Linked DNA regions of Struthio camelus. The protein of the gene in region 1 interacts with the protein of each later gene in a biochemical or structural test. Links are inferred from orthologs where the notes say so. Each region holds a gene or a part of one and is shown on either strand. Other genes may lie near its edges. The genes, in order: PLXND1 and SEMA4A.

The links.
Region 2: the proteins of PLXND1 (region 1) and SEMA4A form a complex in vitro, tested with the Homo sapiens proteins (2 studies listed by IntAct, with this or other methods). The link is inferred for Struthio camelus from reciprocal best matches to the Homo sapiens genes PLXND1 and SEMA4A.

Annotation. Positions count from the first base shown.
Region 1 is NC_090955.1:661,128-675,445, forward strand, and holds the start of PLXND1 (plexin-D1), read left to right. Parts: upstream 1-8,555; coding exon 8,556-9,863; intron 9,864-14,318. UniProt on the Homo sapiens protein: Cell surface receptor for SEMA4A and for class 3 semaphorins, such as SEMA3A, SEMA3C and SEMA3E. Plays an important role in cell-cell signaling, and in regulating the migration of a wide spectrum of cell types.
Region 2 is NC_090971.1:3,848,665-3,863,371, forward strand, and holds SEMA4A (semaphorin-4A), read left to right. Parts: upstream 1-7,181; 5' UTR 7,182-7,405; coding exon 7,406-8,141; intron 8,142-8,729; coding exon 8,730-8,887; intron 8,888-8,980; coding exon 8,981-9,043; intron 9,044-9,120; coding exon 9,121-9,219; intron 9,220-9,300; coding exon 9,301-9,409; intron 9,410-9,506; coding exon 9,507-9,623; intron 9,624-9,711; coding exon 9,712-9,842; intron 9,843-9,920; coding exon 9,921-10,090; intron 10,091-11,011; coding exon 11,012-11,162; intron 11,163-11,245; coding exon 11,246-11,435; intron 11,436-11,513; coding exon 11,514-11,629; intron 11,630-11,712; coding exon 11,713-11,876; intron 11,877-12,822; coding exon 12,823-12,932; intron 12,933-13,067; coding exon 13,068-13,681; 3' UTR 13,682-13,815; downstream 13,816-14,707. Other genes in the region: LMNA (lamin), read left to right, coding at 937-1,200, 2,122-2,154. UniProt on the Homo sapiens protein: Cell surface receptor for PLXNB1, PLXNB2, PLXNB3 and PLXND1 that plays an important role in cell-cell signaling. Regulates glutamatergic and GABAergic synapse development.

The DNA.
Region 1 (14,318 bases):
CCCCTTGAGTGCAGCTGAGCCTCATGGATGTGCTGGTCGTCATGGGTGCCCCGGTCCCCACAGATGCACTGCTCCCTTTGGGCACACCAGTCCCCACGGGCGCACCGGTCCCCCCACGGCTGCACCATTTCCTTTGGATGCACCGGTCCCCATGGGTGCACCGGTCCCTGTGGATGCACCGGTCCCCACGGGCGCCCCGGTCCCTCTGAGCACACCGATCCCCATGGGGGCACCCGATCCCCACAGCTGCACCAGTCCCCGCAGGCGCCGGGGTTTGGCCCCGGCTGCACCAGGGTCTCAGCCCAGCTGCTGCAGGAATCGCGGCCGGCGCCCGGGCAGGGGACGGGGGGCGGCAGCGGGGGACGGGATGTGGTCCCTTGCCACGGTTCTTGCTCCCACCACTTGTGGCCATCGCTGCTGGGCCGAGGCAGGTCGCCCCGCGTCCGGGGGGGGCTGCGTTGCTGCACCGTCGCCCGCTTCGGCCGAGGCCGGAGCGCCGCCGCGAGCCGCCATCCCCGGCTGCGGGCCGCTCCTGACGCCCCGTTTGGGGGATCTGCCCCGTGCTGGCACCTGCCTTTCCTCTTGCTGTCAGCTCTCGGCTTGCGGGCTCAGGCCACGGATGTTTGGGCTTTGCCAGGAGCACCTGGAGACCCTGGGAATTTCGGGCAATGCCGACGGTGGCCCCAGCATATGCAAAACCCGCCCTCTGCCCTTGCGAGGGAGGGAGCCCTGGGGAGCCCTGGGGAGCCCTGGTTTTCCTAAGCCGTGTCTCCGCACCAAGGCAGCCGCTGGCACGCTCACAGCCCAGGCGAAGGACGCGCTAACGCGTTGGCGGCTGCGGCTGGGCAGCAGGACACCCAGCCCTGCTCTGGGGCATCGCCTCGCGGGCGGCGGGACGGGGCTCGCCGCGGCCGCAGGAGCACAACAGGCGCACGGGCACGGGGGCTTGGGGCACCCCCATGGCCTCATGGTGTCCCCATGGCCTTGTGTGCCCCCATGGCCTCAGGGCGCCCCCATGGCCTCGGGGCATCCTCAAGGCTGGCATGGGGCCTCGTGGTGTCCCCATGGCCTTGTGGTGCCCCCATGGCCTCGTGGTGTCCCCATGGCCTCGTGGTGCCCCCATGGCCTCGGGGCGTCCCCACGGCCTTGTGGTGTCCCAATGACCTCGTGGTGTCCCCATGGCCTTGTGGTGTCCCCATGGCCTTGTGGTGCCTCCATGGCCTCAGGGCGCCCCCATGGCCTCGGGGCATCCTCAAGGCTGGCATGGGGCCTCGTGGTGTCCCCATGGCCTTGTGGTGTCCCCATGGCCTCGGGGCGTCCCAATGACCTCGTGGTGTCCCCATGGCCTTGTGGTGCCCGCATGGCCTTGTGGTGTCCCCACGGCCTCGGGGCGTCCCAATGACCTCGTGGTGTCCCCATGGCCTTGTGGTGCCCGCATGGCCTTGTGGTGCCCCCATGGCCTCAGGGCGCCCCCATGGCCTCGGGGCATCCTCAAGGCTGGCATGGGGCCTCGTGGTGTCTCCATGGCCTTGTGGTGCCCCCATGGCCTCGTGGTGTCCCCACAGTGGGCACAAGGCCTCGTGGCGTCCCCGTGGCGGACGTGGGGCTCCTCCCCTGGGTGGCCGACGGCCGCGTGGCCTAGCGACGGCGGGACCAGCGCCCCGGGGGCAGAGCCGAAGCACCCGGAGCCTGGTTGCTTTTCCACCTTGATTTAGTATTGGCTTTGACAAGCGCCGTCTCCTGGCTCCTCCGATACTGCCAGCTGTGCCTGATGCTGTTGATTTGATAATGTGTCTAATGCGGCTTCTTGAAAACAGCTGGTATGGGGGAGCTGCTCTGCTCCCCCTTGAGCCGTCTCCCTTCCCTGCCTTCGTTCCGCCCGGTCCGTCCGGGAAACAGTCCGGTTCGCTCCCGCAGCGCGGCCGGGCGCCGGGGCTGCTGCCGGCCGAGGGGCGCCGAGGGACGGCACCGCGCGGGGCTGGGCCTCTCGGTCGCGGGAGGGGAGCGCGGCCGGGGCCGGGGCCGGGGACTGGAGCCGGAGCTGGTGCCGGCGCCCATCCCCGTGGCGCTGGGCCGCGCACCACTCTCGGCCCGAGCCCCGCGCGGCCGCCGCTCGCGCCCCCCCGAGCCGGGCGTTGTCCGCCGCGGCCCGACGTTGCCCATCGGTCTCTTCTGCCTTCGCTGAAGCTGAAAACGAAGGAGGCCGTTCCCCGCGTCCCGCAAGGACAGCGCGGGGGCGGCGGAGGGCGGAGGCCGGGGCCTCGCGGGGGAACCACGGCGGGACGGCCGGAAGAACGGCCGTGGAAACTGCCGCCCCGTTTCCTCCGCCCTCTCCCTGGTTAGCTGAGGAAGAACCACTCTTTCACCTTCCTCACGGTGTCTTCATTGGCTGAGCGCTCCCTCGGCGCCCGGCTATCGCGCCAAGCAGCCAGGCTGCCGCCGGAGGGCGGGCGGCGGGCGCCCCAAGCTGCCAGCAGCCCTGGGGGCGGGTGGCTCGCCCGCCGGGGGTCTGCGCGGGGGAAGGGGAGAGGCGGCTCCGCTTTCGGCAGGCGGGACGGGTCCAGCGCTGCGCTGCTGGCGGGAAGCACCCTGCTCTCCTCCCTCCCCGGTGTCCCCATGGCCTTGTGGTGCCTCCATGGCCTCAGGGCGCCCCCATGGCCTCAGGGCATCCTCAAGGCTGGCATGGGGCCTTGTGGTGCCCCCATGGCCTTGTGGTGCCCCCATGGCCTCGGGGCGTCCCCACGGCCTCGTGGTGCCCCCATGGCCTCGGGGCGTCCCCACGGCCTTGTGGTGTCCCAATGACCTCGTGGTGTCCCTCCGACCCGGAGCTCCCCACCCGCCCCAACGACACCAGAAGAGCCACTGCTTTTCTTAAGTTGGCAAAGAAGGGTTCAAACTTTGCTGTCCCAAACGGGGGCAACGCGTGCAGAGGTGCGACACCAATGCCTCGTTGCTGTCCCTCTCCAGTCCCCCAAGGCGGTCCGTCCGCCCCAGCGTCCCGGCTGAGCCGGCGGTGCCTGGGTCCGGGGCCGCCCGGGAGAGCGGAGCGCCGCGGAGGCCTTGCAGCCCGGCGCCGGCCCGCGGTGGGGCCGGCCAGGGCCCGGCCGGGCGCTGGTGCGGGGCCGGGGCCGGGGCTGCTCCCCTTCCGCCTTTCCCGCCGGGCGGGCGGCGCGACGGTCCGGCGGCAGGAGCGGAGGACGTTGGACCATCACGCTCGTCTGTCTGCCTTGCTGTCACCGAAGTAATTCAGGCGAGGCCAAGCGCGTTACTTGGATCCTCTAAGGTATAATTTAGGCACGAGATGTTTACAATCAACTCTCATTTGCATCGGCAGGGAGGAAAACATGGGATCGGCCGGATATTTCAACCGGCGGGTGAATTACTAGTGCAAGCATGGCTATCGATGGAGCCTCCCGCACCTGGAGGGCGCGGCGGCCAAGGGGGCAGGACGGGCAGCCGGGGGCGCTCGGCGCGGGACCCGGCCCGTCAGCAGGCTGCTCCATCTCGCCCCGCTTTGCCGCTGCCTCCGCCTCCCTCGCTGCCGGCCGCTGGGGCCCTTCGGGGCGCCCGTTCTGCTGCCCAGCCCGGATAATCCCCAGAAAAAGCTGTTCTCACTTGTGTAGAAACTTAAGCAAATGTTTCCGTTCGCGCTCGGTGCTTTGCAACGTCCGTATTAGGGGCGCGCACGGTCTGTAACGTTGGGCTTGCGGTGAGCTCGGCGCCGGCAGGCGTGCGTGCGTGCACCGCGCCGTCTGCGCTGCGCCTGGACGGCGTCCCCACCGGGCGCTCCTGCGGCCGCCGCTCACGCACCCCAGACCGATCGGGGTGGCACCCGGTGACGTTTTGATGCCAGGTGACGCCCTACAAGCGACGTTACGACGAGAGGCCACCAGAGGCCACGTGAACCACACGCTGCCCAACTCTGAAGCTGAGACTTACGTGGCGCCGGCAGAAGGCGGATCGTTGCTGGGTGCAGGCACGAAGGCACCTCAGGTTTCCTAGCCGCAGGCGGTTCACGCGTTGGGCACGGATGGTCAGGGGTAACTCGCGCGTGCCGTCCTGGAAGCGCACGGGTGCCGCGGTCCGGATACGGGACGGGGGAGACCACGGGGCGGCCAGGCCGGAGAGGGCCTTCCCGTCCCTGGAAGGGCGTAGGTGCTCTGAGGGCCCCGCGCGGGTCCTGACGCGTTGCAGGCCCGGGCGCCCGGGCTGGGGATGGAGGTGGGGGCCGGGAGGGCAGCACCGAGGGGCAGGGGCTGGGGTGGCCCCGGGAGCGTCCTGGCGGGACCTGGAGGTGTTGATGAGCTGGGTTCGTTGGGCCATCGGGTATGGTGGCTACTGCTAGGGTAGGTTTCGAGATGGTGCCGTCAAGGCCCACCTGGAAAGGGTCTGGCTGGGGCCGGCCTGGTGGGGACGGTGTGTCAGCAGCCCGGCTGCCTGCAGAAGTTACTGGGCTATGTTCAGGGGGACTTTGGGAAAGACGTGCTGCCTGACTTCGGATTATAGCAATGCAAATCACCTCCAGTGACCTGAAGGTGGATCTGCGCTAGCGAGACCCCCGCGAGCCAGCACGGGCCGGGGTCTGGCAGCGTCCTCCGAGCCGGGTTTGGGCAGGGGCAGCAATGGTCCCACGCGGGGAGCAGGGCTGGGTCTGTCGGCGAGGCGGAGGAGCTGGGACCAGAACCAGAAGATGCCGCCGGGTTGCATTTGGGTTTTGCGGTGGTCGGGCCTGCCCTCCGAAGGACTTGTCGGGCTGGTGGTGGGTCTGCTGCTTCTCTGTGCAGCGAGGTAGAGACCGGAGGTGCTTAAAGCCCAAAGAGGGTTGAATCAGAGCCCAGTGCAACATGGAATAATTTTTAAGCACTTTGAAATTTTAATCAAAATGTTTGAGTTGATACGAAGAAGCTCAAAGCAAACGATAATTCCACAGCTAACCACATCTGACGCTTTCACCCCAAAGCAGAGAGTGAGCGTCAGTACCGAGGCCTCGCCAAGCCCCGCCAACACGGCCAAAACAAGGCCGAAGCCGCTCAGGTAAGTGAAACTGGTTGGAACGAACAGGGGCGCTGTGGATAGTAGTAATATCGTCACAGCCCGGTCGGGCAGGTCCTGCCGCTGCGCTCGACCGAGCCCCTTCGCGGCGGCAGCCTCGGGCCCAACGCGCCGCGGGCCGGCGAAGGGGCTCGCGGGGAGAAGCGGGATCCCGCCCGGAAAGCTCCCGGCCCCGAAGCCCCCCGGCCGCTGGGCCGCGGCGCGCAGACCCGACCCCGGCCGCGCGGCGGGGAGCAAACCCGGCCACGCCGGGGCGGCTCTCGCGCCGTCGGTGGCGTCTCAGCCGGTGCCGCTGCAGGGGTCGTCCTCCATCAGGACGTCTTTCGTGGGTGGGAGAGCGATCAGCCGCGAGGGCTGCAAACGAGGCTGATAACGCTCCTGAGCGCGGCCGGTGGTTTCCCCGTCAGGGACGGGCGGAGGCCGGTGCGGGCGCCCCCGGCCCTGCGGCAGCGGCCCCCCCCGTGCAACGCCTCCGCTGGGCACCCGGCGCGGGAGCGACACCGCGGCCCGGCCGCAGGCAGCCCGCTGGCGGCTGCGGAGCCAAACCAGCCCGTCGCCCACGCGCGGGGCCGGCTTCCCCCGGTCCGCGCAGCGCTTCACGGGCTCCTTGCGGGTAAACCCCCTGAATAAATAGATGTTTATACCCCCCCCGCCCCGTACTAAAGCGATTAGGTCCCGCTTTTCAACAGTGTCGAGTCGATATAACCCGAGTGACTGCATGAGCAACTCATGTTTCCCCTAAAGGGAAACTGTTCTCGTGTAAATATATTTATTAATAATTAAAGTGTTTTTGAGTTCCTCTGCACACAGCCCCTCTCCCCCGCAGAGAGGTCTGAAAAGCTGTTATCTTTAAACGTGCGAAGGAGGCAAACGGGAAGGGCTTTGGCTGGGCGGGTGATTGTCTATTGCAGCAGGCGTGTGGTTTAATTTTGACCTTTTTTTCCTTCCTGAACACAAAATAATGGTGAGATCTGCGTATAAGAGATTTAAAAACCTCTGCTGCTCCATTAGGAACATTATCTATCCTGAAAGATTCACTAGGGCTTCTAACAGCCCAGATAATAGGGGTGGGAAATCATTTCTGGAAAACATTCCCCTCAAAGCATCTTACCAGAGGATTGTTTCCTAACAAAAACAACCGTAATAAAATCTTTGTCAAATAATCCTTCAATATCACAAATATTTTGGCTTTAATTGCATCAGTGCAGATAACCGCTCAGTGTAGGAAATGGGCGTCAGAACTCCTGGGGGAATTTTCTGACAAAGCCAGTACTGGATACCTTTGGGTAAGTCGCACATTTCTCTGTATTCTTTGGCCTAATTTTTTTTAACTGACTGTAATCTGGAATTTAATTTGATATGCCTTAAAAGGCTGATTTCACATGGAAGATGCTCTACTATCAGGATAAGCAGGCATAAGAAATCCTAAAATAGGCAGATTAAGGGTTTGGGATCACGAGGGTTTATTTCTGTGCAATTAAAGACATGATCACATTAAAAAATTGCTAACTTGTAGTTTAAAAAAAAAGGACTAAGAAGCCCCACATTTAAAAACAGCTAATATCGCTATTAATTAAGGATATGATTAGCAGAGACAATGCGTTCGATAGCGCAAAAGCACAACATTTAATTCAACGCACATTTTCAGCGGACGTGGCGTGGCCGAGGCAGTTATGTATTAATTAGCGCTCCGAGGAGGGCGAGGAGGACTGGAGGGGGGTGAGGAAAATTGGCAGGTGTAGAAATGAGATTGGACAGCAGCAGCACGTTTGTTTCCGTCCCGAACGCAAGTCGCTCCGCGTCCTCCTCAGCCTCGCTAGCGTGTCTGCGTCGGTGAAAGCCGAACGAGCGGGGCCGAGGCTGCAAGGTGCTGCCCGGGGGGGTGGCAGGTTTCAGGGCATCCCGCCCGCGTCAGCCCCGCGGGGCACGCGTGGGGGCACGCTCGGCCCCACGCGGTACAGGGGCACCGGCGCCTCGACGCTAGCCCGGCACCCGCCGTGGCCGGGACGTCGCGGGGTGTCGCAGAGCGAAGGCAGCGCATGAGCCCCCCGCTCCTGGCACCCCTCCGCGCCCGCCCACCCCGCGGGCAGCGCGGCCCCCGGCCCAGAGCCCGCCGCCGTCCCCGCGGCTGCGCAGCGGCCTTCCGGGGGGGGGCGGGGGGGAGCGCGCAAGCTCCGCGGGGGCGGCACGGCCGGGCGGGGGGCGCGCAGGCTCCGGGGGGGGTCGGCCCGGGCGGGGGGCGCGCAGGCTCCGCGGGGGCGGCACGGCCGGGGGGGGGGGCGCGCAGGCTCCGCGGGGGCGGCCCGGCCGGGGGGGGGGGCGCGCAGGCTCCGCGGGGGCGGCACGGCCGGGGGGGCAGAAGACGCGCGAGGCAAACCGCCACCTTCGCCTGGGCGGCAGCGCTTTCCCACGCCGATAAGGGAGGGAGGATCACAGGCCGCGCTATCTCGGGGGCATTTTCCCTCTGTGCAGTTCAGTGGGTGGAATTTAGGAATCCCAGCACCTCTTTTTTTTTTTTCTTTCACTGTCAAAAAGAGCCGATGGAGGGCAGAGGAGACGCACGGTCCTGTCTTGAGCTCTGCTTTTGGCAAGCGGTGCGGGCAGGGCTGGCTCTGCGGTGGAGCCCGGGGGAGCCCGCGCTGCCGGGCGCGCCGCAGCCCCGTTCCCACGGGGGCTGCTCCGTTCCCACGGGGCTGCCGCGCTCCCACGGGGGCTGCCGCGTTCCCACGGGGGCTGCTCCGTTCCCACGGGGGCTGCCGCGTTCCCACGGGGGCTGCTCCGTCTCCGGGGGGGAGGCTGCCCCGTCCGCTGCTCGGCGGCGCCCCGCGGGGCTCCCCGGCAGCCCGCAGCGATCCCGGCGGCGCGGGGAGGGGAGGGACCGGCCGGGGAGCGGCAGGGACCGGGGCGAGCGGTCGCGCTGCCGGGACCGAAACACCGGGGAGGCCGCAGCGAGCCCCCCCCCCCCCCTTTACGTGCCTGGAATATTTCTTCACTTAATGCATGGCCCCCGCAAGCCCCGGCGCGCGGCCGCTTCCAAGCGGAGCCCCGGGGCCGAGGCTGCTCGGGCCGGCCGCGCTGCCGCGCAGTGGGGAAGAGCGCTCCGCGCCGCCCGGCCCCGCTCTGCTCAGAAACGTAAGGAGAGGAACAAGGGAGAGAGAGGAAGGAACACGAGTTATTTGTTGCTAGCGGGGCCGCGCTCGAGGAACAAGGCGCTGCCGCTTTTTGCGTTTGCCTGGTGCGAGGCTCGCGCGGCAGCTCGGGGGAAATATTTTCAACTTAATCACATTCACATGACAAACCCTAAAGAAGGAGGGGATGAGTAATGCCAAAAGCGAGGGGGCGGGGGCGCGGCGGGCCGGGCCGGGCGGAGGCGCGGCCGCCCCGGACGTGAGCGCGCCCCGCCGCCCCCCGCCGCGCCCGCCCCTCGCCGCCTTCCCCGCCTGCTCCGCGCCGCGGCAGCCGGCTCCGCGGGAGCGCTCCTCTGCGGCCCCGCCGGCGGCACCATGGCTCCGGCTCCGGCGGCGGCGGGCGCGGGGCCGCGGGGCTCCGCCGCGCTGCTGCCGCCGCCGCCGCCGCTGCTGCTGCTGCTGCTGCCGCTGCTGCTGCTGCCGCCGCTGCCGGGCGCCGGGCTGGAGGTGCAGCGCAAGTTCCTCTCGCCCACCCCCACCAACAACTTCGCGCTGGACGGCGCGGGCACCCGCGTCTACCTGGCGGCCGTCAACCGGCTGTACCAGCTCTCGGGGCCCAACCTGACGCTGGAGGTGGAGGAGGCGGTGGGGCCGGTGCTGGACAACCCGCTGTGCCACGCGCCGCAGCTGCCGCAGGCCTCCTGCGAGCACCCCAAGGTGCTCACCAACAACTACAACAAGCTGCTGCAGCCCGACCCGGCGCAGGGCGTGCTGGTGGTCTGCGGCTCCATCTACCAGGGCTTCTGCCAGCTGCGCAGCATGGCCAACATCTCCGCCGTGGCCGTGCGCTTCCCGCCGGGCGGCGGCGGCGGCGACGAGCCGGTCACCGTCTTCCCCAGCATGCTCAACGTGGCGGCCAACCACCCCAACGCCTCCACCGTGGGGCTGGTGCTGCGCCGCGGCGGCGACACGCGGCTGCTGGTGGCCGCCACCTACACGGGCTTCGGCAGCCCCTTCTTCCCCCGCAACCAGAGCCTGGAGGACCACCGCTTCGAGAACACGCCCGAGATCGCCATCCGCGCCCTCAACGCCCGCGGCGACCTGGCCCGCCTCTTCACCTTCGACATCAACCCCTCCGACGACAACATCTTCAAGATCAAGCAGGGCGCCAAGGCGCGGCACAAGCTGAGCTTCGTGCGCGCCTTCCTGCACGGCGGCGCCCGGCGCCCCGCGCCCGCCGCCCGCCGCCCCTACGCCTACCTGGCGCTCAACAGCGAGGCCAACGCGGGCAGCAAGGAGAGCCCCTCGCACAGCCTGCTGGCGCGCATCTGCCTGGGCGACGCGGCCGAGCCGCCGCTCAACGGCAGCGCCGAGCCCAAGAAGCTGACCGAGTCCTACATCCAGCTGGGGCTGCGCTGCGGCGCGGCCGGCGGCTTCACGCGGCTCGTGTCCGTGTGCCCGGCGCGGGCGGGCGGCGGCGGCGAGCGGCTCTTCGGCGTCTTCGCGCGGGCGGGCGGCGGGCGGCCGCGCTCGGCCCTCTGCGCCTTCCGCTTCGCCGACATCGAGGAGGCCATCCGGGCGGCGCGCAGCGCCTGCTTCGCCAGCCCGGCCGCCGGCGCCGTGGCCGTGCTGGACAGCGTGGTGCAGGGCACCGGCCCGGCCTGCGAGAAGAGGAACATCCAGGTAGGGGGGCGCGGGCGGCGGGCACCGGGCACCGGGCGGGCGCTCCCCCCCACCCCCCCGGGCCGCGCGCCCACGCGGGACCGCCGCCGCCGCGTGGGTGTGCGCTGCCCCGCTGCGGCGCGCCGAGCCAGGCGCGGCGCCGCTCACGCGTAGAGAGACCTGCGGGTGTGCGCGGTGCCCCCCCCATCAAGGACCGTCTCCATTCCCACGTCCCCTGTCCCCAGTGGACTCGCAGTGACTCACACTTTATTTTTCTGACTCTCGCTGGCGGCTGCTCCCTGCGCGGACGCGGAGGGACAGCAGCCCGGCCAGCGTCCTCGGGTCCAGCCGCTCCCTTCCCACGTCCCCGCGGCGGGCGGCGCGTGCTCCGCGCAGAGCGGGACCTGCGCACAGAGGCTGCCTTGTTTGCTTGCGTTTGGGGTGAAAGTTTTGCCATTGTCACAATTTGTTACCAAGTGGGCATAAACGCTAAAGCCAGATAAAGACGCCTGTTTTCCCCTTCACTAAAGACGTGCACTGTTTAAAAAAAAAAAAAAAAAAAAAGAAAAGAAAGAAAAAGAAGAAGGAGCTGCTTTACCCCTGCATTTTTCCCTTCCTCTGGGAAGGATGCATAACTCAGCTCCGTCAGAGATCGTAAAAACATCTGTTTGGTTTCAGAGGCAAGACAGAGCGTTTGGGCTCCGGCTTCCCTGCGCTGTGCCAGTGGCAGAGAGAAAGGTTTGCCATGGTAACCGAGGTGTTTAGTGTGGCATCGCCACGCTGTGTTAACATACGTAGTCTTAATGCTCGGGTTCATAGACCTGCTCTAGCAAAGTTGCATAGCTTTCCCCTGGTGGCAAAGTACAAGCTGCCTGACAGCCAGGAAGTCTGGTAGTTGTCCTGGCTTTTGAGTTAATTCCACAAAGACTCAGTGCATTAAACACCAGGAGCCCAGCTCTGAAGTCCTGGCACGGTCACAGCTCTCGGAGGAGTCGCTGGGAGTCAGGAATCGTATTTACAGGACTGGAAAACACCTGCGGTTCTTGTTGGCGTTAGTTGAAGCTCAGCGTCCCTGAGAATCAGACCCTCAGCACCTCGCAGGATCGTAACGTCCCAGTCGAAGCCCCCGAGAGCAGACGTTGTGGCTGAGGTTTCTGGGAATTATTTAGAGCGTTAAGGGTCCAATTTTAATTGAAAGTCAATGGCAGAAAGGCACCCGGCTCCCCTGAGCTTCCCCAGTACTCCTTGACTGTTTGAAAAATGCATTTTTTTTCTGACTTTTGTTCAATAGGGAAAATAATAACTCTGGTGTATTACTATTTGAAATATCAAAAATTGTATCTGGTTATATCTAGTGAGATGTTTAGACACCTGATTCCTCCGTTTCTCAGCGCGTCACTCGGCACGTAACGGCTCGGCACGTAACTGAGGGTTTCCCTGCGTCTTTGGATCTGGCCCATAACGTTGTTCCACCCACCCTAAGGCGTACCCCTAAGAGCACCGCTCCTCTCGGTACTCTGAGGAGGTGGGAAGGGTGGCGGAAAGGCTGAGACTGGCCTAACCCAGAGCCAAAGACAGTGCCAGAAGGAGGATGAGGAGCAGGTTTTACAGCGCAGAGCAATTACCTACAGGAAATAACAAAATCAGTAAATGTTTTTGAGAACTACACTTCTAATGAGCTTAATTCTGACATAAATGCCACACTCAGGAGCTTATCTGAGCATGGAGGTGACTAGGAATATACTGTCTGCTAGTTCTGTAAAGGAATGGCTGCGTTCTGGAGGATGGTTGAATTTAAGATTGGGTATACGATATTCAGAGGAGCAAGCTGTAAAATGCTGGGCCTCCTCTAATCCTACAGAAGTCAGCAGAAATCCTCTATGTTTAGCATTGCGGCAAGATCAGGCCATAGGAAAACTTGCGTTTGCAGCGAAGCAGCGGTATGGGTTAGTGGTAGTGGGGCTGGGCAGGGAAAGCTGGGTCCTGGAGCGGGCTTTGCACGCATGCTGCCTGGGTGCTGGTGCTCATCGTTCCCCCCTCGGGTGCCTCAGTTTCCTGACTTGCAGCATGCGCCGCCTATATTTGTTACCGTTATTCAGAAGCCTAACTCACACGGAGTAAGGGATTACAGTTGTAAAGCTGCTCTGAGATCCTTTGATGTCGAGTACAGCAGGATATAAGTGAGGCATACTATTAATATTCGCTCGTGCTTAATATTTCTGCATTTCCCATTTATTTGAGGCGTTATTTCTCTCAAAACACTGACCAAGCCTGCTGGGAAGCCTTCTTACCAGTCAGAAGGCGAGCTTTTCATTATTTCTTTTTCCTTTTACTTAATCTTTAGAATTGCCAACAAGTTAACAAGCTGTTTTCCTTCTCGAGTCCCAGAGTGGCTGTGTCAAGAGAAGAGCTGTAATACTGTGTTTCTTTGTGCTGCAGAAATCTAACATCGTTTTCCACCTTGGAGACGATGAAATATTCCAATGCGTTTTGCGTCCCGGCCTGGGGACACAGCAGGAAAATGCGTTGCAGCAGAGCTGGTTGGGTGGTGCGGCTGGGCATCTAGCCGCCTTCCCGTTAAAAGCGCCACTTCTCCAACCTGTTAGTGGGCTCCCGAGATTTCTTTTGCCTACGTGTAGCTTAGAGGTGCTCGAGCATTACCAAAATTGCAGTTGGTTAGTTCTTTCTGTAGACTAGGCTGCTGGGTTTTAAACTCCTTCTGGAAAAAACCCGTGTAATGGTTGCCTGACTCGCTGCAAAAACACGTTAGGCTAAAGTGGTCGGCGGTTACGGCAGGGCGCGCTGGCTGCTGGGCGTAATGCTGCGTGAAAGGGAAATCATTGCCCCCTCGTGTGCTGTTCCGACTAATTGAATGCTCCTCGCCTGCAGCACTTAACCGTGGGACGAAACCGCCGGCGCGGGAGAGCGGGCGCGAGCGGCGGCCGTCGGGGTCGGGGTCGGGCGATGCCCCGCTCCGGCGGCCCTCGGACCCGTAGGGGGGTGCCGTGGCCCGGGGGGGCGGCGGGCAGCGGCGCTCGGCCTGGGCTCCCGCTGCGGAGGTACCGGCGCCTCGGGCCCTTGAGGGGTCCCCGACGGCTGGGTGGGACGGGTTGCGGGCTCGGCCTGGGGATGGTCCTGTTCGCTTTGGCGAGGGGCGCGCTTGGCGGCTGCGCTGAGAGGCGGGGGGCGCGGGAACCGTCCTAGGCAAGGGGTGGAGGCGGGCTGGGGCTCGACGAGCGCGGTGTCTCATCGCTCCCCCGGGAGCTGAGTTAACACCGGCGGCTTAGGGGAAGGGGTATGCATTAAGGAAGGATTGAGTTTGAGCTTTTTCTCCCCGCCCCCCCCCCCCTTTTTCCTTTTTTTTGGACTGAGAGTGAATGGGTGAGCTCTAGTATTGCTTTCCCTCAACAGAAAGAGCTTTTTATAATAAATTTTGTGTCAAACAGTGGGCTGTTTCTGTAACACGGGCAGTTCAAATGAAACGCCCACGTGAAGTCATTGCCGCGTTTTCACCACGAAAATCCTCGGCAGAACTTGAACCCAGGCCTCCAGGAGAGAAAAGGAGCACGCAGTCTCTGCCGTAGCCGCCCTGTCCTCAGCGCGGCTTGCAGCAGTGAGCTGACAGGCCTTGCCAAAGCCTGGGGAGCCCCAGCGGGTGCCTCCCTGTTTAACCTCTTCCGCCCAGCTGGCTCGCGGTCCGGTGGGCGCCAGGGCCGCGCAGGGCTCCCGGCGTCCCCCTCGGCAGCGCTAGAAACGACGCTGCGGCGGCTCCTCCGGCGCCGGCTGGCCGCGCTGCCCCACGCCGTCCGCGTCCCGACGGGCTCCCGTCTCCGGCCGGCGCGTAGGGCAGGGGACGCGCCGGGGGCTGCCGGGCAGTTTCAGCTCCCTTTCCTCGGCTGCAACAACAGCACGATGACAAGTAAACATGAATTTTAGGTCATCTCTACAACCCTTCGCGCTGTCTGTATCCCAGTGTTGGCTGCTTTGAGGATCCGAGTTTAACACAAAATAAAATACAATATACGACAAACTCACAGTTGAAAGAAAGCGAAGCTGGTAACCCCACCCCAGGCACCTGAATCCTTCAGCCGCCTTTTGTGTTTTCCCACCTAGAGCCCCACCGTCTCCTTAAAAGAAAAAAAAAATCTCTGGACGGTACTAGAGAAAGCAGATGTGTTGTCGTTCGATTTAAATTTGCAATCCAGGGATCCACGTCTCCCCTGGAAAATGTTTTGGGGTCTACATCTCAAAAAAAAAAAAAAAAAAAGCTAAAAACCTTGTTTGTTTTATATGCTGAAAAACTTGGGCACAGCAGCGTGGGATAATGTTGCAATTTAGCATCAATTCTCAAGTTTCTGGCTCTTGTGGCTTTGTGTCAGATCCTGCATGTTCATCGGACGCCGTGTTTTGTGGGGCAACGATGAGATAGCCACCAGTGAGTTTTACTACAGCGGGCTGTTAAATGAAATGAACTTC
Region 2 (14,707 bases), on another chromosome or scaffold:
GGCTCTGCAGACCTCTCTGGTGATGGTGATGGGGGCAAGCTGAAAGCATCTCCAACCCAGAAGGACCTTGACCTACTGCATGAAGGCATGGAGGAACTGGGACAGAGGGCGAGCTGCTATCTGGAGTAGCCCACCCAGAGCTGGAAGACAGGATGGTGGAAAGTTGATGGAAGACGCTTCCCAACGGCAGCTGCTCCAACCTCTCTGCTTCACCAGGGCTCTGGAACAAATCCAGAGGTGACTTTGTCCTTCCGCTCAGCCCATCACTCCCTTCGCTGAGCTGAAATATGCCCAGGAACAGCAGCATGCGGAGAACAGGCAGCGTGCCAGAAACGGAGCTGCGGCCCCTTCTGCCTGCATCAAAGCAAACATCCCTGGCTGCAGCGATGGGAGCCCCCCACCAGCCCGTCCCTGGGGGCAGAGATCTGTGTCTCGCGCAGGAGGCACCCGCGGGAATCGTGCACGGAGAGGTGCTCTCTCCCTGACCGCACGCCTCGATGCTGCCGAAAAATCTGCCAGATGCAGCTCCCCGGGGCTTTGCATAGCAGGAGCTGGATGCGAGGTACATGATCAGCTTCCCTTCTAATTGCTCTGGATCCAAAGAGCTTTGCCAAGAGGGATATTGATTATCCCTGGATGAACGAGCCAGGCTCCCATGGGCCAGCGCTGCCCATTTGTCAGAGGCCTGAATCCTTTCCAAGGGCGAGTTTCCCAGCAGGAAGCAGTCAGCCGACTCGAGCTGGGCTCTTCAGAGGTAATAAGGAGGAGGATGCTCTCAGCTGAAGATGAGCACGGACAAAAACTCCGAAGAGCAATGAGAAGAGGCCGCCGGGGTCATGCCTGGTGCTGCCGCGGTCCTCGGGGTAGGACGCTCAAGCCAGAAGGCGCTCAGACAGGTACTCAAGGACCTTTTTGTGTGTGTTTCCCCCCGTTTAGGCCAGCTGCAGCGGCTCTGGTGACCCCGGCGAGTACAACCTGCGCTCGCGCACGGTTGTCTGCGGCACGTGCGGCCAGCCGGCCGAGAAGTCGGGAAGCCAGAACGCCGGCATCGGCACCATGTCCTCAGGGTCGTCCACCTCCAGCGTGACCGTCACCCGCAGCTACCGCAGCGTCGGCGGCTCCGGAGGCGGCAGCAGCAGCCTGGGGGACAACCTGGTCACCAGGTCCTACATCCTGGGGAGCTCCAGCCCACGTAGGCAGGTCAGTGCCGTTTCCAGACCCTGCTGAGCCTTGGGGACAGGCTCTTCCTGCTCTGGCTGGTCTTTTTCCTGGCCTTGCATCATCCTTTCTTGACAAGCCAATGCTGCGGGTGTCTCTTCTCCCTCCCTCTTTTCCTCCTCTCTTCTCCTTGCCCTGGGCATCTACTGGCATGTGTAAGGTCTATAAGGTCTATAAGCTCATGTCCCTCGCTCCAAGGAGACGAGCCGAGACGCTGGAGTAAAGGGAGACGATCGGCTCAGCCGGGCGGAGAAGCCGGCGGCCAGAAGGCCCCCGTCTCCCAGCAGTGGGACAGGGAGAGGATGAAGCCGCACGGACCCTTTGAGTCCTGCCTTTGGCCTTGTCCTCCCTCCCAGCCGAGGCCACGGCTCAGGCTCGGACACGCCGTCCCCGCGGGCTCGTCCCGCTCGAAGGCGGCTCGTGCCATCAGGCGCGGGGCAGCGACTGGGGACGGCTTCCCCTTGCTGGCCCGGCGCCATCCCGCCGTCAGCGAGCGCCCGGTGGCACCGTGCCAGGGTATCCGTCACCCGCCACCGTTATCGTGCCGGTGCGGCAAATGCACGGCGGCCAAGCGCTATTAACGGTGGCAACGTGAATATTTCAGCGCTTGGCATTTGCTATCAGATCAGCAGTATTCTCCTCAATATTATTACCCTCATATATTACCACTAATTATGTTTCTGACTTCAGCGCTATAAATACCCCAGCCCGACCCGGAGCATGACGTGCGGCCGAGGCTGCACGTGGCGCCCGCGCTCGGCGGCGGAGCGCGAGGCTGCCGAGAGCGCGGCGGGTGCCCGAGCGGTCCCCGCTCAGACGTTGCTGCCCGTCACCACCGCTACAGTGGGAGCAAACGGATAGTGACGCTGGATTTTTCTTCTTCTTTCTTCTCTTTCCTTCCAGGCTCAGGCTCCACAAAACTGCAGCATCATGTAACTCCAAGGTGCCATTCCTATGTTTCCTGGCCATCTCGAGCTAGTTTTTCCCAAAGCAAAATATTTTTTTTTTCCTTAAAAAAAGTCGAAAACCAAGGTTGGGGTTTTTTTGTTTTCTATAGCAGGAATTTTATATATATATATATATAAAAAAAAATGCTAAAAGATGCTTTGATTTTTTTTTTGTAAAGAAAAAATCTATTTCTATAAAAAAAAAACCAAAAAAAAAAAAGCTTTTCAGCTTCAAAATTTTTTTAAAACTTCAGCCAAAGACACCGAGGAATTGTTTACCGAGCAGCAATGCAGAAACAGATTGTAGTTTAACGGCTCTTTAGATGATAACCTTTTTTGCCAAAGCTTTTTATATAGGACTAGGAGAAGTAAAGCCATCCCCGCCGGAGCCCCGAGAGCGGCGCGCTGCATCGGGCGCCGTTGGCGGGTCGAGACGCCCGGGCCGGATCGTCGGCGGTGCCGGGGCTCGGCGCCACCCCGCGAGTCACCCGGCCGCGCTCGCGGGCGCCTGCCTTGGAGGGTCGTCGTCTGCAGGAGAGCAAAGCGCCTTTGCAACCCACCCACCTTTTTTTTTTTTGGATTTGGACCCAAATTCCTTCTGTTCTTGTTGTCGTTGGGGTTTTTTTTTCTTTTCCCCCCCCGCGGTGCCGGCTCGGGGGGCTCCCGGGGCCGCGTGGGCATTGCCTTCCTGCCGGCCGCCCGCGCCTGCGGCAGCCGCCGCTCCGCTGCCGCCGGAGCTCGCTCCGTGTACTGTATTCCCGGCCAGAGGCACGTCCTTCCCCCTCCCCTTTTTGGGTTTTTTTTTTTTCCCCCCTTTTCTTTCTTTTTTTTTAAAGCAGCCACTGTGTGCCTTAAGGAAGGCGCGGACCCTGCGGGGCGGCCGGGGGTGCCGCTGCGGGAGCTGCGGTGCCACGGGCTGGCCGGGCTCGCCCCCGCCGAGGGATGGAGGTTAGACCGAGGCGGGAAGTGAAAATCCCACGGAGCTTTCCCGAGCCCTGGGCCGAGCCGGGCGTCCCCGGCGCGGGCGAGCGAGCGGGCCGAGCTGCGGCGGGCTGGCACCCAGCGCCCCGTCCTGCCCGCAGGCCGCCGAGCACCGCGGTGGCGGCCGCGCGGGGCGGCGGGTGTTTTTTGCTTCTCCTTTTCGCGGCGGCGTTGGCTGCTCTCGGCCCGGCGGCGGGAGTTCGGGAGCCCAGTTCGGCGGCGGGACGAGGGTGCTTAGCGCAACACGGGGCTGGTTTGTGGGGAAAGAGCGGGGTTGGTTCGAGGGAAGGGGGGGTTTTCGGGGCAGATCCCCCCCCCAACCCGCCCCGGCTTCGCCTGAGGCCCCGTCCAGCTGTCGGCGGAGATTTCTGCTTTTTTTTCCCACGCCGTTTTGGGGGACGCTCACCCCAAGGCCCCCCCTCCGCCTCCCGCTCCGAAGCGTCGCCTCCGCCGGCGGGACCCGCGCGCGTGCCGCTACCTGCTAGCGAAGCTTCTCTATTTACCGCCTGTATTTCCTCCCGAAATCAATACAAGCGAGATCCCTTCCCGCCCCGTGTGCTGTCGTGATTGGCGTCCCCGAGCGCCGCGGGGAGGGATGCTGCAAGCCGGGCCGGCCGGCCGGCGTCTCCGCGGGGCCGGGAGGGTGAAATCTGGGGACGTTTCAATGCTTTTTCCCACCCGGCCAAGGTTTCTGGGAAGGGACGGAGGGGCCTGGGGCAGCGGGAGCGGGCAGGGGGCCGGGCAGGCCGTGCCAGGCCGCGCCGGGCCGGCACCCGCGCAGCGGCGCTGATGCGAGGCGGGAGGAGAGGTCGGCGGGAGGAGAGCCCTAAAGCCGGCGCGTGATCGGCTTTGCCGGGCGCCGCGATGTGAGGCACCGGCTCGCGGGCGGCCGGGGCGCAGCCGCAGCCAGGTAGGTGCCCGCCGCCGTGGCGCGGCCCAGGACGCCGGGGCCCTCTCCCAGCGGCACGGGGTGGCTCCCCCCCCCCTCCCCACCCGCCGGGGGGGCTCGGGTGCCAGCGGGGCTGAGCTGTGCCGGGGCAGGGGGGGCTTTTCCTGCAGATTTGGGCCGGCTGGCAGGGACCGGGCAGCCCCCCGGGATGCACGGCGCTGCCTGTGCACCAGCGTCTCCCCCGTCCCCGGAGGGGGTTGGTGCAGCGGTTCGGGCAGGGGGGGCCCCGAGGCCGATGCAGCCCCCCGGGCGCTCGCCCCGCAGCCGTCGGCGCGGGCGTCCTGCCCCCGGCAGTCACGGGTCCGTCCCCGAAGCGGCGGGTTATTTAGCAAAGACGGCGATGCCGCGGGGGATTGAGGCCAGGCTGCCCCGCTGACCCCGCCGCGGTTAAGCCGGGCGCTCGCCGTCGCGGGGCGGCCGCGGGGGTCCGAGGCCGGGGAGGGGGGAGCGCGGGACGCCGGGGTCCCAGGGGCCGGGCTCTGCCTCTGCCTCCTGGCAGCGGGTTTTGGCTAAGACCATCCGGCTGCCCGGGAGCGGGTTGGCACCGGGCGCGAGCACCTTCGGGCACCCGAGCGCCGGGGGGACCCGGACACCTGGGCCCGCTCGGGGCCTTGGCCCCCGCGTGCCGGGCGAAACGGGGGCCGAGCCGGGGCGGGGAGGGGGGGCGACGTGCGTGGGGTGCAGCCCAGCACCCCGGCTCGTGCAAAGCCCGTCGGGCGGCAACGTTTCCGGGGTGCCGCGTGCTGCGTTGTGCAAGTCCGTCCTCGCGTTGCCCTTCCCTTTCTGCCGGATCCGGCCGTGCCCGGCGCTGCCCTGCCGCCCCCCCCGCCCCGCATCCAGCCGCGTTGCTCCCCCTCCGTGGCTGCCGCTGGCGCCGGGCAAAGGGACAGGGCAGAGGCCGCGCGGGAAGGGAAGGCGGTGGCGGAGGGCGGCCGCGGCCGGCGGGGGCTGGCAGCCGCCTGGGGAAGGGGAAGGAGCGCGCGGAGCGAAGCAGAAGTGGGACCCACCGGTGCCAGACGAGCCGGGGGTTCTTCCGCCGGGGGGTTTTTGAGGGGGGAAGTGATTTAGCGAAGCGAAATCGAGGCACCCCGGAGCCGGGGCGCTGCCAGGGAGCGAGGAGGGGGCCGCGCGCCGCAGGGACAGGGCGGCGGAGCACGTCAGGAGCCGCCGGACAGGACACGCGTGTGCGTGCAGCCGCCGGAGGGGCCGCTCTGCACGGCTGCGTTCAGGTCTGTGCGTGCGTGTGCAGGTCCGTGTGTGCGTGTGCAGGTCCGTGCGTGCGTGTGAAGGTCCGTGCACACGTGTGCAGGTCTGTGCACACATGTACAGGTCTGTGCGTGCATGTGCAGGTCCGTGCGCATGTGTGCAGGTCCGTGCATGTGTGTGCAGATCCGTGTGCACATGTGCAGGTCCTTGTGTGCATGTGTGCAGGTCCGTGTGTGCGTGTGCAGGTCCGTGCGTGCGTGTGAAGGTCTGTGCACGCGTGTGCAGGTCCGTGCATGTGTGTGCAGATCCGTGTGCACATGTGCAGGTCCGTGTGTGCATGTGTGCAGGTCCGTGCACGCGTGTGAAGGTCCGTGCACGCGTGTGAAGGTCCGTGCACACGTGTGCAGGTCCGTGCATGTGTGTGCAGCTCTGTGTGCACATGTGCAGGTCCGTGTGTGCATGTGTGCAGGTCCGTGCACGCGTGTGCAGGTCCGTGCACGCGTCCGTGTACATGGGCACGCCTGAGCCCACCCGCGGGCATGCACGAGCGTGCACGTCGGTGCGTGTCCCGGCGCGTGCAGGCGTGTGCACGGCTGCGTGTCGAGGCGCACGTGGCCGCGGGAGCGCGGCCGCGGCCGTGCGGGTGTGCGTGCGTGTGCGGGTGTGCGCGGGTGCGGGTGATGCCCGCCGGAGCCGGCGCGAGGCGAGCCGTAGCCATGGTGATGTGAGCAGGATCCGGCGGCCCCACAAGGGATGCTGGCCCCGGCAGGCCTCCCCCGCGGCCGCCGCGCCGCTGCTCCGCCAGGTCGGTGCCGCGTGGGGACGGGGACGGGGGCAGCTCCTTGGGGGGGGGGGGATCCCCGGTGGCCTGGGGGGCTTCGGGCTGGGGCTGGGGTTTGCTGTGGCAGGGCCGTGGCTGGGGGGCGACCCCTCGGATGGCTCCGATGATCCGGGGCGACGAAGGGGTTGAGGGTCCCAGTCCAGGGAGATCATCCCTGCATCCCTGCCCCGCTTTGCATCCCCCCCCTCTTTTGCATCCCCCTCTTTGCATTTCCCCCCTTGCAAGCTCCCCTTGCAAACCCCTCTTGCAAGCCCCCCTTACATCTCCCTTTTGCATCCCTCCCCATTGCATCCCCCCTTTGCATCCCCCCATTGCATCCCCCTTCGCATCCCCCCCAGCATCCCTCCTTGCATCTCCCCTTGCCAGCCCCCCCTTTGCATCCACTTACATTTCTCCCCTTACATCCCACTTTGCAGCCCCGCTATGCACCCCCTGAATCCCACCCCTGCAAAACATTGCCAAAAATCCCCCATATCCTTCCTGCACTCCCCTTTTGCCTCCCCCCACCCCGTGCATCCCCCCACGTCCTGCTCTGCCTCCCCCTCTGCCCCCCCCCTGCACTGGGGCCCAGGCAGGTGCAAAGCAGCCCCCACCCCGAGCCTGCAGCTCACCGCACCGTTGCAGCCCCCGGGGGAAACTGAGGCACGGGGACAGCCCTGCCGGTGCAGCGCGGCGTCCCAGGGGCCGGGTGTGCAGCCGGGCTCGGGGCCCCAGCGGGGAAGGGTTAATCCGCTCTTGTGCAAAGCGGCTGCATTTTCCTGAGCTCCGGGAGGATCGCCCGGCTGGGCGAGGAGGCGGCGGGTCCGCGAGGCGGCAGGAGCTCGCGGCCCGCAGCGCCCGCCGGAGCAGCCTCGGGGCTGCTCTCGTTTCACAGCCCCGCTCCCGCGTGGGCTTCTCCCGTCCCCGAGAGCCGCCGCCGTCGCCTCCTTTCCCGTCCCTCCTCCCCTCCGCCGGCCCCGGTGGCTCCGGCCCAGGGCGCAACAATGCGGCCGGTGCGAGGCTCCGGGCGGCCCCGGTTCGCAGCCAAACCGGCCGCCGGTGGCAAATCCGGCGCCGAGTAACCTACTTTCTGGGCTCACAAGGAGCTTTCTGTGCCGGCCGAGCGAGGTGGCGGGGAGAGGGTGCCCCGCCGTGCCCGCCGCCCCGGGGGCAGGCAGGTAGGCAGGCCGGGATGGGGGGGCCGGGTGCTGGGATTGGGGGGGGGCCGGACGCCTGGGCTCTTCGTGCGGGTGATGCTCGGCCCCAGGGGGTGTTCGTGGGGTGATGCTCGGCGCCGGGCAGGACCCGCTGTGCTCCGAGCCCAGAGCTCTCGCCCAGCGTCAGGGAGGGGACCCAGGCGTCCGGGCCCTTGGGGAGCGCGGGCGGGCGAGGCGGGTGCCGGGCCCTCGACCTGCTGGGGCTCGTCCTCCCCCAGCAAGACTTTCTGGTTCGCGGAGGCCCCGGCGGCACCGCCGGCTCCTCCCCAGCCGGGGCGGCCGCGGCAGGCTGCAGGGAGCGCGGCCGGGGCGCCGGGTATGGACCCGCCGATCCCCGCTGCCGGCGGCCCCCCGGGGCCGGGCACCCTCTGGGCGACGGCACTCAACACCCACGGGTGACCGAGCTCCTTCCTCACCCGCCGGAGAGGTAACGCCCATCACCGTGGCGTCAGGCCTGCTCAGCTGGAGTGCAATATCGGCGGGGGGGGGAGGGGGGAGGATCCGCAGGGGGCAAACGGAGGCCAGCCGCGGTGCCCGCCGGCGACGTCGCCCCACATGCCGGGGCGGCCCCCCGGGCTTCCCGCTCTCGTTTCCGCTTGCCGCCTCGTCGCCGCTCACGCCGGGCCTCCGCGCAGGGACGGTGCCGGGGCCCCGCGGCGCGGCGTCCCCCCCGCCTCCCTCCCCGGCCCGGACCGCCGTGCCCCCCGCCATGCCCGGCGCGGCCCTCCGCCTGCTCTGCGCCGTGCTGCTGCCGGCCGCCGTCCTCCGCGCCGAGCCGCTGCCCCGCGTCGCCTTCGCCGCCGGTGAGTGCGGCCCCCCGGCGCGGGGTTGGGGGGAAAAATGTTGGGGGGGGGGGGAAGGAAACGGAAAAGAGGGGGGGAGCATGGGGACAAGCCGGGTCGGGGGGCAGCAGCTTGGGGGGGGGGGGCGCATCCGTCCCGCCGCCGGTGCCGAGCATCCGGCCGGGTAGCCAGGGAGCATCCCGGCCGGCCGGCGCGCGGGGGGGCCGGCTTTCCCGGTGGCCGGCGGTAATTAAAAAGGGGTAATTAGCGGGGTTGCGGAGCTGCACCCCAGGGGCTGAGGTCGGGCGGCGGGGAGAGGCTTGGTCCCCCCCGAACCGGCTGGTGGGGGGCCCGGCGCAGCCCCCACCCCGCCACTTCCCCTTCCCGGCACCGCGGTTCGGGGAGTTGCCAAATTTCCCTCTTCTTAATTTCTGCCTTTGCAGCCGCTGCTGGGGGGGGGGGAGGGGGGTGCATTTGGGCACATCCGGGTGGGCGACGCAGCCCCCCCCCCCCAATCCCGGCGCGGCGCAGCCGGGAACGCACCCGCCTTGGGGCAGGGAAGAGCTGCTCGAGGGGTTTTTTATTTTTTTGGGGGGGGGGCGCTGCCAGGGGACGCCCGGCGGCCCCTCGCCCGCCTCGGCCCGCCCGACGTCTCCGACTGCGACGTCCTGCTGCTGCGCGAGGACGAGGAGGAGCTGTACGTGGGGGCCCGCGACCGGCTGCTGGCCCTCGCCGTGGGGCCGGCCGCCGTCCCCGGCGAGGCTTCGGTGAGCGGGCGGCGGCGTGGTCGCTTGCCGTGCCTCGGTTTCCCCCTTCCCCTTCCTTCCCCGGCCTCGGCACCGTCTCACCTGCCTCCTCAGATCCCGTGGGGCCCCACGGCGGAGAAGACCTCCGAGTGCGCCTTCAAGAAGAAGAGCCGGGAGGTGAGGAAGAGCGGGGCCGGCGGGCGGGTGGGACGCGTCCGCGCCGCCCCGCTTCACCCGCGCCCGGCCCCGCGCAGACCGAGTGCTTCAACTTCGTGCGGGTGCTCGTGGCCCTCAACCGGACCCACCTGTACGCCTGCGGCACCTACGCCTTCAGCCCGGCGTGCACCTACGTGGTGAGTTGTGTCCCCGAGCTTGGAGGGCTTCAGTTTTGGGGGTTTCCTTCCCCATCACCGCTGGCCCTTTCCCCCCTCCAGCATCTGGAGAACTTCACGCTGGTGTCCAGCGGCCGAGGACAACCTTTCCTGGACGGCAAGGGCCAGTGTCCCTTCGACCCCCAGCACGCCCACACGGCCCTGCTGGTGGGTGAGTTCGGGGCCGGGGTTGGGGTTGGGGTGGTGGGGACGCCGCGGGGCGGTTGGGCAGGCGAGGACCCGCTCAGGCCCGCTCCTCGGCCGGCTAGACGGCGAGCTCTACGCCGGCACCATGAACAACTTCCAAGGCAACGAGCCCATCATCTCCCGCTCGCTGGGCGGCCGGACGCCGCTCAAGACGGACGCCTTCCTGCGCTGGCTCTCAGGTGGGGACGAAGCCGGGGACGGGGGACACGGCGGCGCGCCGAGGGTCCCCCGCGCCGGCACCTGACCGCCCCGGGTCCTGCCCCGCAGCCGACGCCGCCTTCGTGGCCTCCTTCTCCGCGCCGGGCGACGACAAGGTCTACTTCTTCTTGGAGGAGACGGCCGACGAGTTTGACTTCTTCGAGCGGCTGCTGGTGCCGCGGGTGGCCCGCGTCTGCAAGGTAGGACGGGGCCGGGCAGGCGGGTCGCGGCCGGCCGGCCGGCCGCCTCGGGGTGCTGAGCGGCCGCCGCCGCCGCAGAGCGACGTCGGCGGCGACAAGGTGCTGCAGAAGAAGTGGACGACGTTCCTCAAGGCGCAGCTGGTGTGCTCGCAGCCCGGCCGCTTCGCCTTCAACGTCATCCGGCACGCCGTCGGGCTGCCCCGCCGCGCCGGCCGCGCCGACTTCTACGCCGTCTTCACCTCGCAGTGGTAGGGCCGGGCTCCTCGGGGGCGCGCGCCGGGGGCCTGGGGGCGTGCGCGGGGGGGGTTTGGGGTGGGCAAGGGGGTTTGGGGCACGCAGAGGGGTTTGGGGCATGCAGAGGGGTTTAGGATGCACACAGGGATTCAGGCGTGCAAAGGGATTTGGGGGGTGGGCACGGGGATTTGGGGGTGGGCATGGGGATTTGGGGGTGTGCACAGGGATTCGAGGGTGTGCATGGGGATTTGTGGGTGTGCACAGGGATATGGGTGAGCACGGGGATTTGGGGGGCATGCACGGGGATTTGGGGGTGTGCCCGGGGATTTGGGTGTGCCCGGGGATTTCAGGCTGTGCACAGGGATTTGGGGGGCGTGCACGGAGATTTGGGGGTCTGCACAGGGATTTGGGTGTGCGCAGGGGTTTGGGGGGCGTGCACGGAGATTTGGGGGTCTGCACAGGGATTTGGGGGCACGTATGGGGATTTGGGCGTGCACCGGGATTTGGGCGTGCACAGGGGTTTGGGATGCACACAGGGATTTGGGCATGCATGGGGGTTTGGGGTGTTCAGGGGGGTTTGGGAAGCACACAGGGATTTGGGGACATGCCCGGGGATTTGGGCATGAACGGGGATTTGGGCGTGCAGGGGGGGTTAGGGGTGTGCACAGGGGTTTGGGTGTGCACAGGGATTTGGGGGTGTGCACAGGGATTTGGGTGTGCACGGGGATATGGGGGGCATGCACGGGGATTTCAGGGCTGTGCACAGGGATTTGGGGGTGTGCACAGAGATTTGGAGTGTGCATGGGGATCTCAGGGTTGTGCATGGGGGTTTTGGGGCATGCATGGGGATTTTGGGGCGTGCACGGGGATTTGGAGACGTGCCCGGGGATATGGGGGCGGCCCCGGCCCCTCGCCCACGGCGCCGGTCCCCGCAGGCAGGCGGGCACGGCCGGCAGCGCGGCCGTGTGCGCCTACAGCCAGGAGGCGGTCGAGGAGGTCTTCAAGGGCAAGTACAAGGAGCTGAACAAGGAGAGCTCCCGCTGGACCGTCTACGGGGGGCCCGACATGAGCCCCCGGCCCGGCAGCGTGAGTCCTTCGCCGGCGACGGGCAAGGGTTTTCCGTCCTCCTCCTGGGGCCGTGCCTCAGTTTCCCCCCGCCGGCTCCGCAGTGCTCCGTGGGCCCCTCCTCGGACAAAGCGCTGACCTTCATGAAGGACCACTTCCTCATGGACGGGAAGGTGCTGCCCAGCCAGGGGCGGCCCGTGCTGGTGCGGACGGGCGTCGAGTACACGCGCATCGCCGTGGACGAGCCCCGCGGCCTCTCGGGGACCTCCTACCGTGTCCTCTTCCTGGCCACCGGTAGGTCGGCGGGAGGCTGGGCCACCCTGGTGGCTTGTCAGACCCCACCGCCGGGTGACGTCCGGCCTGTCCCCGCAGCCGACGGGTCCCTGGAGAAAGCGGTGGAGCTGCCGGGGACCTCCCACATCGTGGAGAGCATCCAGCTCTTCCACCCGCCCGAGCCGGTGAAGAGCCTGCTGCTGGCCCCGGGCAAGGTGGGTACCGGTGGGAGCTGCTGCCAGCCGATCTGAGCCGGGCCGAGTTGAGTCGGGGCTCAGCCCGGCGCCTCTGCCCCCAGGGCGTCCTCTACGTGGGCTACTCCGGCGGGGTGCTGCAGGTGCCGCTGGCCAACTGCAGCGTGTACGGGAGCTGCGCCGAGTGCCTGCTGGCCCGCGACCCCTACTGCGCCTGGGACGGCCTCAACCGCTCCTGCCGGCCCGTGCGCCACGCCGGCGCCCACCCGTGAGCCGGGCCGCCGGGGACGGGGGTGGCGGGTTGGAGATGGAGGCACCGGGGATGGAGACATCAACATGGAGATACTGGGGATGGGAATGGGGACACCAGGGATGGAGATGGAGGCACCAGGGATGGGGACACCAGGGGTGGGAATGGGGACACCAGGGATGGGGACACCAGCACGGAGATACTGGGGATGGGAGTGGGGGGACACTGGGGATGGGGACACCATGGATGGGGTTGGGGGCACCAGGGATGGGGACACCAGGGGTGAGGATGGGGGCACTGGGGATGGGGACATCAGCATGGAGATACTGGGGATGGGAATGGGGGGGCACTGGGGATGGGGACATGAGGGATGGGGATGAGGGCACTGGGGATGGGGACACCACCATGGAGATACTGGGGATGGGGATGGGGACACGAGGGATGGGGATACCAGGGATGGGGACACTGGGGATGGGGACATCGGGGTTGAGGACACTGCGGGGGGGGACACCAGCATGGGGACATTGGAGATGGGGACACCATGGGGACACCAGGGATGGGGATGGGGACAGGAGGGATGGGGATGGGGGCACTGGGGATGGGGACACCACCATGGAGATACTGGGGATGGGGATGGGGACACGAGGGATGGGGATACCAGGGATGGGGGCACTGGGGATGGGGACATCGGGGTTGAGGACACTGGGGGGGGGGACACCAGGGATGGGGATGGAAACACCAGCATGGGGACATTGGGGATGGGGACACCATGGGGACACCGGGGATGGGAATGGGGACGCTGGGGGTGGGGACACCAGGGATGCTGGGGCCGGGGACAAGCAGGGAGACACCGGGGCCGGGGTCAGCGGGGATGGGGACAGCGGGAGGGCCGCCGGGGACGGGGGTTAGGGACACGGAGCGGGGCCGAGGCGGGGATGGTGAGGCCGAGCGCCGGCGGCCGCAGGAGCGGTTGGCTGCAGGACGTCGAAGCGGGCCAGCCGGCCGCCGCTTGCCACCGGGGCCGGAGCGGGACGGTGCCCCGAGCCGGGACGTCGCCGGACGCCGCCGTAGAGAGTTGAGTATCGGGGAAGGGTGATGACGGACGGAGGGTGGGATGGGGGGGCACCACGGTGGGGGCACGCGGCGGGCGGCACCTGAGCTCGCCCCCGTCCCCTCTCCCCTCTCCGTGGCCGGCCCGTGTCCCCGCAGCGCTCAGCCCCGCGCCGCACACCGTGGTGCGGCTGCCGTGCCCGCGGCGCTCGGCCCTGGCCACCTACGCCTGGCAGCAGCCGGCCGCGGGGCCACCGGAGGAGACCACCACCACCACCACCACCACCGCCACCACCGCCACCACCGTGCTGCTGCCCGACCACACGCTGCTGGTGCTCGTGCGGCGCGGGGCGGCCGGCCTCTACCGCTGCCAGGCCACCGAGAACGGCTACACCTGGACGGTGGCCCAGTACATGCTGCGCGAGCCGGCGGCCACCCAGGAGGAGGAGGAGGAGGAGGAAGATGCCCAAGGGCGGGCGGCCGGCGGCCGGCGCTCCTACTGGCCCCAGTTCGTGACGGTGACGGCGCTGCTGGCGGCCACGGTGGCGGCGGCCGCCTGCCTGGCGCTCGGCGCCTACCACGAGCAGCTCAAAGCCCGGAGGAAGGTGCGAGGATGCGGCCAGAGCCACGGCGGTCCCCAGGCCGGCCGGCCCGAGAAGGAGCCGCTGGCCGGCCGGCCCCTCGCCGCCCCCCGGACCTGCGGCCTCCGGCTGGACGAGGCCGAGCCGGAGGCCGAGGACGGCAGCCGGCCGCCCCCGCCGGACGCCCCGTAGCACCGGCCGCCCTGGCCGGAGGGGTTTTTGCCGACGGGAGGGGAGGGATGGGAACGTGAAGCTTTGGTTTTCTTTTTCTTTTTTTTTTTTTTTTAATTTAATGCAAGTGTTTTAGCATAAAGTAGCGTTTTGCGGTGGGGGGGGCGATGGAGCTGGGGGGGTGGTGGGGGGAGGCAGGGAGGATGCGGAGATGGAGGGAGGATGTGGCTGTGGGGCAAGGAGATGGGGAGGAGGGAAGGACCTGGGGATGGGGAAGGACCTGGGGATGGAGAAGGACATGGGGATGAGGAAGGACGTGGGAGTGGAGAAGGACCTGGGGATGGGGAAGGACGTGGGGATGGAGGACATGGGGATGGAGAAGGATGTGGGGATGGAGAAGGACATGGGGAGGGGGAAGGACGTGGGGATGGGGAAGGACGTGGGGAAGAGGAAAGATGTGGGGATGGGGAAGTACGTGGGGAGGGGGAAGGACGTGGGGAGGGGGCAGGGGGAGGGCATGGGGGTGGGGAAGGACCTGGGGATGGAGAAGGACCTGGGGATGGAGAAGGATGTGAAGATGGAGAAGGATGTGGGGGTGGAGAAGGACGTGGGGATGGGGAAGGACGTGGGGAGGGGGAAGGACATGGGGATGGGGCAGGACATGGGGGATGGAGGACATGGGGATGGGGAAGGACGTGGGGATGGGGAAGGACGTGGGGATGGAGAAGGACATGGGGATGGAGAAGGACGTGGGGGTGGAGGACATGGGGATGGGGAAGGACGTGGGGATGGGGAAGGACATGGGGATGGAGAAGGACGTGGGGGTGGAGGACATGGGGATGGGGCAGGACATGGGGGATGGAGGACATGGGGATGGGGAAGGACGTGGGGATGGGGAAGGACATGGGGATGGAGAAGGACATGGGGATGGAGAAGGACGTGGGGGTGGAGGACATGGGGATGGGGCAGGACATGGGGGATGGAGAAGGATGTGGGGGTGGAGAAAGACGTGGGGATGGGGCAGGACATGGGGGATGGAGAAGGCCG